2 linked regions of the Danio rerio genome follow. The protein of the gene in region 1 binds, or shares a complex with, the protein of each later gene. Links are inferred from orthologs where the notes say so. Each region holds a gene or a part of one and is shown on either strand. Other genes may lie near its edges.

Region 1 (3,828 bases):
CTCCTCTCTGTGGATCTACATTTATGTTTTGTAATAAGCTTTTAAATATCAACAATAGCTATTTATTAATGCTATTAGACATCTCACCTTTCATTTCAATACATGCAGCCTAGAGCTGCACAATTAATCGTTAAAAGATCGCGATCTCGATTCGACCCCCTAGACTATCTTAATCCAGTATTTCTACGATTCTGTCAATCATATTTTCAAGTTCAGGAGAGAAGAAAAGGCGGCTGCACGAGTCTTTTCACTGTTTCACACACGTTGCTCAGTGACATTGACACCTCCAAATGATGTTGAATGAGTCACATACTGAATTTATAAGGTATAATTCACCTAAAAATGTAATTTTTGTCTTAATATAATGATGCTTTCGCAATCAGGAAATTACACGTGACGTGTGCTGCTGACCGTGAGCTGTTATCACAAAGAGGGCGCACACTCTACTTAATGATAGACGCGCGCTCTACTTAATGATAGACGCGCGCGTCTACTTTAGTGAACAGAACCTGCATATGTTGCGAGTAACGGGTAATACACTTGCAAATAATATTCAGTTTTTGGCACAGAGTGATCGGTTGGGAGCCGCGCGCGAAGTATGAACAAGCACTTAGCAGTCAGAATGAAACTGAAAGTGTGCACTTCATTTAAATGATCATATCGCATTTAAGAGTTATGATTACGACAAGCATTTGATATGTTTTTTTCTTTCATAGCGAACCCACAGTTGTGCATGAAAATAAAGGTTTACAATGTCAGTATAACTACTCTAGCCTATATATTGTTGAATATAATCTGATAATGGCAAATGTCTGATTTTACCAGTGAATAAATTTGTCTAATGTGACAGATTGCAAGCATATATCTCAAACATAATAATTCAACATCAGAATTATTATAAGTAGAATAGAATTATTTATAGAAACCAGTAGACCTACACATAATATTATTATCGATGTTGTGCCATATGTTTGTTTTTACCATACCTTTATTTTACATCTACAGAATCGTGAGAAAATCATGATCTTTATTTTAAGCAAAAAAAAAATCGTGATTCTCATTTTAGCCAGAATCGTGCAGCTCTAATGCAGCCATGAACATAATCAAGACGCTTAATTGTTCTTTATGAAATCTAAATGATTTATTAGCATAAACAGCCCTGAGTGAGCCTATTCTGCTCTGGGAGTGGGAGTGTTGAACTGGAACTTGAAATGTTTGAAGTGGCCTTTGTTATTAAAGTCGAGTTGACGTCAACGCATTTTGCAACATGCCACAATTTGCAGTTGATTTGCAGGAAACATGTGTTTACATGCTGTTTGACAGCACACACTGCAAAACAATGCAACAGTCAAAAAGGCCAAAGATAAATCTTCATTCATTCTGGACCACCCCTTTACCATGTAAATCATTCGCGCTTGACGCTTCATCCTCATCTGGTGTGAACGCAGCATTAGAGTGAAACTGATTTTCGTTCAAACTAATTGATGCAAACTACACATGGTTAATGGACAATTTATTTATCGCCCAGCCATGATAAAAATGCACTTTATTCTTCCCAATCAAAATATTTCTTCCAACCCTGTGTTGTGTTTTTTGTAACTTTTCTTGTTTTTCCCTCTTTGTGGCCTACAGGGCGTTTCTTCCAATGCATCATGGGAGCAGGCAATGAAGCTGATAATTAATGACCCTCGTTACAGGTATCCAAATACTGCACAGCATTATTGGCATTTATTAGCGTTTACATCCTGCGCCGTTAAACAAATTTGTGCGATTCTTCACTGACGTCCCTTTCTCTGTGTGTGTGCAGTGCTCTGCCAAAGCTCAGTGAGAAGAAACAGGCGTTCAATGCTTATAAAGTCCAGACAGAGAAAGAGGAAAAGGAAGAAGCCAGAATAAAATACAAGGAGTCTAAAGAGACTTTCCAACGCTTCCTGGAGAACCACGAGAAGATGACGTCAACCACACGATACAAGTGAGTGTATATACATTATATACATGTAACTTTATATACAACTGTCTGAATAATGGACACTGTAAGATTTGGTAATGTTAAAGTCTCTTGTCACCACATTTAATCCAAATACAAAAAAAAAAAAAGAAAGACATTAAGACATTAACTTGCCATTACTATATATAAAAATTAAAGAGCCCCTGTTATGTTTTTTTTTTTTTTGTTTGTTTTTTAAATGACCTTCTATGTAGTGTGTAAAACAGCTCTGAGTGTTGTGAAATATCCAGCTAAGGCTCAAATCTGAATGTGCACAGTGTTTAAAACTATTGATTCATCTATAAAAGAGTTGACTCATAGTGCTTTAAATTAATCGTCTTGATAACGAGTCTTTAGGCGTTTTGACTGAACTTAAGCCCAGCCAATTTGTTGCGCTCGCAAACACGGGAAAATTTAACCCCCTGGCCCACAAACACTGCAGCAGATCCTGGTTGAATCAAGTCATGAAGACGCTGTGCTCAGCTTGATATTATTGGAAGTATGAGAGGAAAGTTAGTGTTATTTTCTATACACAAAGATGAAACTGTGAAGAGTCAGTGATTGGAAGTTTATTTTTGCAAAAATACCTCAGCATCATAGCCCGAGCTGTGTGCTGTGTTCCCGTCATTTTTCTGACCAGTGCTACAGCAATCTACACCCTTACAAAGGGGTATTCAACAGCCGTTTGTTAAAGGAAGGATCAGAAAAGACTATTGATGTGTGGGACTTTGGGCATTGGAGCTTGACAGGAACTTTACAGTACACAGTTCATAGATCAGTTTCGATTAAAAGCGATTAAAATGGCTGCCTCCTTGTTTTCTCTAGCTTGCAAATTATGTATTTAATTGTGTTTTGTTACTTGTAACTGCGCGTGCTGTATCAGGTTAACTCTTTATATTCTCATATCGCGTCTAATGCCACATTGAAAACGTGCCACGTGCCTCTTTGTTTACTGATTTAAATGCGTTTGTGAGCTCGCGTTCCATTGCCGTTTGTCATTGCTATGGCCATCATCAGCTGTTCCTACACATGTGAAGCGGTCAATTTTCAAATAGTTTAGCTTTGGGCATTGTGTTGATTATTGCTGAATATGTGTCACTGTTTTTACTTAGCATTATGCTAGTGTTCAACTGCACTGCTTTAATGCACTTTTACATCGGGCTCGCACACATACCTGCCAACATTTGTCCCTGAAAATCCGGGAGACCGGGGGGGTTAGGTTTGGCGGTTAAGTGTCTGAATAACACTGAGATCAGTGTACTGTGGTGTTAGTAACTACTATGAAGCGTGTTTCGGGCGGCCGCTGCGATCGGATCTGGGATGATTGAAATTACGGGAGTTTTCCAGGAGAAATAACAAAATAGGAGGGTGGCGGAAGATAGGTCTGAAATATGGAAGACTCCTGGGAAAAACAGGACTGTTGGCAGGTATGCTCACACACATACTATGCACTTTGACTACTTCAATATTGTTGATAAGCCGTGGTGGCATTTCTCTAAACGATGTTGACCAATCGCAAGAGACTGTCATCGGTCCAATCAGCGCAGATTAGGTTTGCTCTAAGGAGATAAATAGGTAAAAATAGGGATATTTAGGGATAATTAGGTAAAAATAAATGCATAGTATAAGACAATGAAAGTATTTTTTGACCTTGTATGCATATCAGCCTGTTGTTGGAGTCCATTACAACCAAAATATTACCCTGTTTAATGCATAATAGGGGCTCTTTAAGAAATGGGTGAGTAGAAGATTCTTCTTTCAAGCATAATGACAAGTGTTAATGTGTCCTAATGTGTGACTTGAAGTGTATCCCATGAAGAAAAAAAAAAAACACTCAAACC
Region 2 (4,303 bases), on another chromosome or scaffold:
CCTGGAGGAAACCCACGCAAAGGCAGGGAGAACATGCAAACTCCACACTGAAACGCCAACTGAGCCGAGGTTCGAACCAGCGACCCAGAGACCTTCTTGCTGTGAGGCGACAGCACTACCTACTGTGCCACTCCTTTGCCCGTTATTAATTCTAAGGGTTCGAATTATACAAATGTAGAATAATTAGCAAGGTCAGGATATAATGTAACTCAGTAGTGTAAATGGGAAAAAAATAAACTATAATACAAATAAAATCTAAGTTTTAAATGTAATTTTATCACTCATATAGACATACTGTATCTACCAAAACCTGACCTGCACAGTAAGAGTAGATAAGATACAGCTGTGTATATGTATATCATCATTTTTTGTGACACTGTATACCAATAATTAACATGTTTACAGTACTGTGACGGTTGGATTTAGGGTTAGGGTAGGGTTCATTTATTTTCATGAGCTAAAGGGTTCATTTAATCCCTTTATTTATCGGGGGTCGCCACAGTGGACAGAACCACCAACTTATTCAGCAAATTAGCAATTCCAGCGTTATGGATGTGACATTTGCAGTAAAATCTCAGAAACAATGCTCATCAAAAGGATAAGAGTTGGCTCATTATAAAACAAAAATGATTGATTTAATTTAATTTGACATTTTTCCATTTACTAGGCAAAATCTTCGTTATTGATGTGACAGATGTGGAATTGCCACTCATGTGATTTTGGTAAGTCAAATATAATAGTTTGAAAACATTAATGGAGACATTTTTGAGTATTTTAAAGCACAAAAACCCAGAAACAGTTTTGCTATTTTGTCGAAATCTTTTTTATTTATGGCAAGGTTGACATTTGCATGGAATTGCTCCTATGTTTTACACAGCGGATGCCCTTCCAGCTGCAACCCAATACTGGGAAACATCCATACACTCATTTATACTCATTTTCTCCACACAGAAAGGCCAACTGCCAAAGCTGGGGCTTGAACCAGTGACATTCTTGCTGTGAGGCGACAGTGCTAACCACTGTGAAAAAAACACTGTCGCCCTAATAAAATATGGGAAATGTAATTTTCGTTGTCTGCCAGCCATAACCGTATCTGATCTAGCTACAACCTGACCACACCGCACAGAAAGAGCCAACCTATCCTGGAACATATGGCCGGCTTGGCGACCAATGAGAGGTAAGTAAATTGCTCCGACGGAAACACGACAGACCTTAAATGATCCAATGAATGTTCCCCAAACACAGATTGACACGACTATCGACCAATCGGATATTTCTAAATTGACGTCAAAGCTCCTTTGTCGATCTCAGCGGACGCCATCTTATCCAGCGGGTGACAGAAGAAGGTTGCGTGGTCGGAGACACGCGTTCGTATCAATTGATTTATCAACAAAAGAAACGGATACATTCTGTGCAGATATCGAACCACGAAGAAGCCCCTGACGCCCAGAAATGGCAACGGGAGCTAACGCAACCCCGCTTGGTAAGCTGCACCCGAGCATCGGCGCTAAGCGAGGCTTTGACTCTGGCCCCGGTCCGGGGTTAATGCCTCCGCCTGGGCCTTCGGTGCCTTTCCCGCTGCAGAACTTCCAACCGCCACAATTATCAAATCCTGGGTTCCCGCAGTTTCCCGGAGCCGTGAGCTCTGCGCTCTCAAACCCTATCGTAGTAGGACAGCAGTCTCAAGCGGGAGGCGGAGGTAAACACCGTGGACAGGCCTTGACTCCTTCAGGATCAACGGCCTCCATTTATAAAAGTAGAATGGCTGGTTACCGTCATTAATAGTCTTACTTGTTTTTACAATGCCATTGCATATTAAAAATCTTTGGAATGTGTAATTATTTAACATGTTCATTTGGGGGATCAAAACTTAATCTAACGTTACACGTTAAAGTATTGTGTTGTATTTAACACTGAACTCTGAAATGAAATATGATGCAGAAAAATCTATTGTTTTGAAATCGAGCAGTGTTAACATTAGACAATAAAGTGCACACTGTTTTTTTTAATATAGATTTTTTTTTTTCAGTTTAGTGCATAATATGGTATAAAAAGGGTTGGGAGCTTTTACACAGCAAATGTACATGCCCAGACTGAACAAAGATGTTTATTACATTGCAGTGTTTATATGGCTAACGATGTTAAGTTAATATAACGTGGCATTTAGCAGCAAACTGCTTGCTTAAACTGCTAAAAACCTTAGAATGCTGTCTTAAATATTTCTTAAATTATTAGTATGTTTCGTAATATCACTTTTATGGCAAAGAATAAGTCCTTTTCCAGGTCTTTAAAGTAAAATATTTCAACATAAACAAGAGAGGCAAAGGTGAAAAATTGATGGAAATTTCAGACGGCACTTAAGAGGTTTTTGCATCTGAACTCTTCATATTTATAATTTCTTTTTAATCAAAGAAAAAATCCTATGTTTACTTTTTAAAAGTGTAATAATTCAATAAATTAAACATTTTGCATCATAAAGACATGGTGAACGTTTCTGTGAAGTTTTGGTCTTAATTTACAGGCTTTAGACATCCACAAATCAGACATAATGGCTTAATTTGTTTACATCCCCTGTCAGATTTTGGACAGAAGAAACGGAAAAGAAGTCGCTGGAGCAGCGAGACCCCTGATCAGAAGACTGTTATCCCGGGCATGCCCACCGTGATCCCTCCTGGGCTGACTCGGGACCAAGAACGAGCTTATATAGGTGAATATCTAAAATTTGCTATTACAACATCTGTCAGAGTCATAGAGTTTAGGTTGCAAATAATTTTGTATGTGAACGGGGGAATATTCTGTCTACACCCAAACAAGTCACTTTTTTTTTTTTTGTCCCAAAACTTGTTTATAATTTTTTTTCTCACAGTTTGCACATCACATGAAGGATGTAACTGCTTAATTTCATTAGTCTGACTTCTTTGCTGATACAACTGATGTCAAATTAGTGAAAGAACCTTTATGTTAAAGCAACAGTTCAAAACGGTCATCTCTATATGTCTCAAATGACTTTATAGAAATGGTCTTCTCAAAGAAGTCAATCCATCGAAATTCAGCACTTTGCCCCATATTTACTAGAATGCACTAACTCCATCAATGTGCAATGTGAGTGCCATTTATTTATTTTTGTTCGTTTAGGACACACTGAGGTATTGGTAGCACTGTCAATGTTTGCATATACCATCTGATGTCCATTAGCAAGAACCCACTGTGTTTTCTGATGTTGCTGCTTGCTGTGAACTGTCTCCAGCTGCAGAACTCCATCACTGCTCATGTTTACTATGCAAAAAATGTCTCGTCCAATTCGACTGCGAAAGCAATGCAGGTCCGATACTGAATTGCTAAAGTCATCTCCATCCCCTTGTGTCTGAAAGCAGTGTGTAGTAAATTGCTTTCTCATTGCTGTCAGGCACTTGTTTTGCAGTAGCATGTGGTGTAGTGTTTGTTTCGACTATAATGTGACCTAGACCTACATCTCTTTAACTACTCCTCCTTTTGACAACTGACACCTCATGTCTCTTACCCACCATCAACCTGCACCATTCAATGTGGGGTCCGATTCTCTTAAGCATGTCATAGAGAAATGCATGTGAAAGCCCATGAAATGCTTCCATGAGTGATGCAGTAATTTGGTTGGTTACAGGTCAGTCTTTGGGTTTGTACAGGCTGATTTGGTTGGCGTGGCTTGAGGCCTTAGTAAAATAAATTGCATGATAAAACGACCTGCTAAAGGCTGATCTGTTTGTCTTAGAACTTATTTATAAATATTGGATTTTACTTAATTGAGTAGTGTTTGTAACTACTGGTAAGTTGCTGACGTGTCAATAACTTGAGTGTTGAATGTAATTGTTTATGTATTGGCTTTTCACACCCAGTGTTAATGACTATTTTTTTAACATAGTAATTTAATTTCATTACGCTGGTGTTATTCTATAACTTTTTATATGAGGATGCATTTGCTCAAGCCATTTAGCCAATATGTTTTTTGATTTCTTCAAACACAACTTTTTTTCCCCCCTCGACAGGCCTTCATGTTTTTGCCACCTTTTTAGCTCATGTGAACTAATGTTTTTAAGGATATGCATAATGTGAATTTTACTTCTCAGAGTTGGTGGCATAAAATGGAAAGCCTGTTGCTATGATCTTTTTCTGAAATTGTTATTTGCTGAAATCCCTTCAGGTTTCTGAAATTAAAATTGGCTGAACATTTGAAACTTGAATTTCTGATTATTTGGGGAATGGGCTCATGAGAATACACTCAAGCTTAAACCGAAGTATGCTTTGCAGAATTCCTGTCGGGCTTTCA

What was found.
Region 2: the proteins of prpf40a (region 1) and sf1 are in contact, whole or in part, in an NMR structure (PDB 8PXX), measured with the Homo sapiens proteins. The link is inferred for Danio rerio from reciprocal best matches to the Homo sapiens genes PRPF40A and SF1. Residues at the interface, in NP_001352526.1 of Homo sapiens: His164, Ser166, Tyr172, Tyr174, Ser181, Thr182, Trp183, Tyr213, Tyr215, Ser222, Arg223, Trp224; in NP_004621.2 of Homo sapiens: Pro575, Pro576, Leu577, Pro578, Pro579, Gly580, Ala581, Pro582, Pro586, Pro587, Pro588, Pro589, Pro590.

Annotation. Positions count from the first base shown.
Region 1 is NC_133184.1:4,703,539-4,707,366, forward strand, and holds part of prpf40a (pre-mRNA-processing factor 40 homolog A), read left to right. Parts: intron 1-1,632; coding exon 1,633-1,697; intron 1,698-1,807; coding exon 1,808-1,972; intron 1,973-3,828.
Region 2 is NC_133182.1:22,788,516-22,792,818, forward strand, and holds the start of sf1 (splicing factor 1), read left to right. Parts: upstream 1-1,316; 5' UTR 1,317-1,452; coding exon 1,453-1,699; intron 1,700-2,578; coding exon 2,579-2,707; intron 2,708-4,303. UniProt on the Homo sapiens protein: Necessary for the ATP-dependent first step of spliceosome assembly. Binds to the intron branch point sequence (BPS) 5'-UACUAAC-3' of the pre-mRNA. May act as transcription repressor.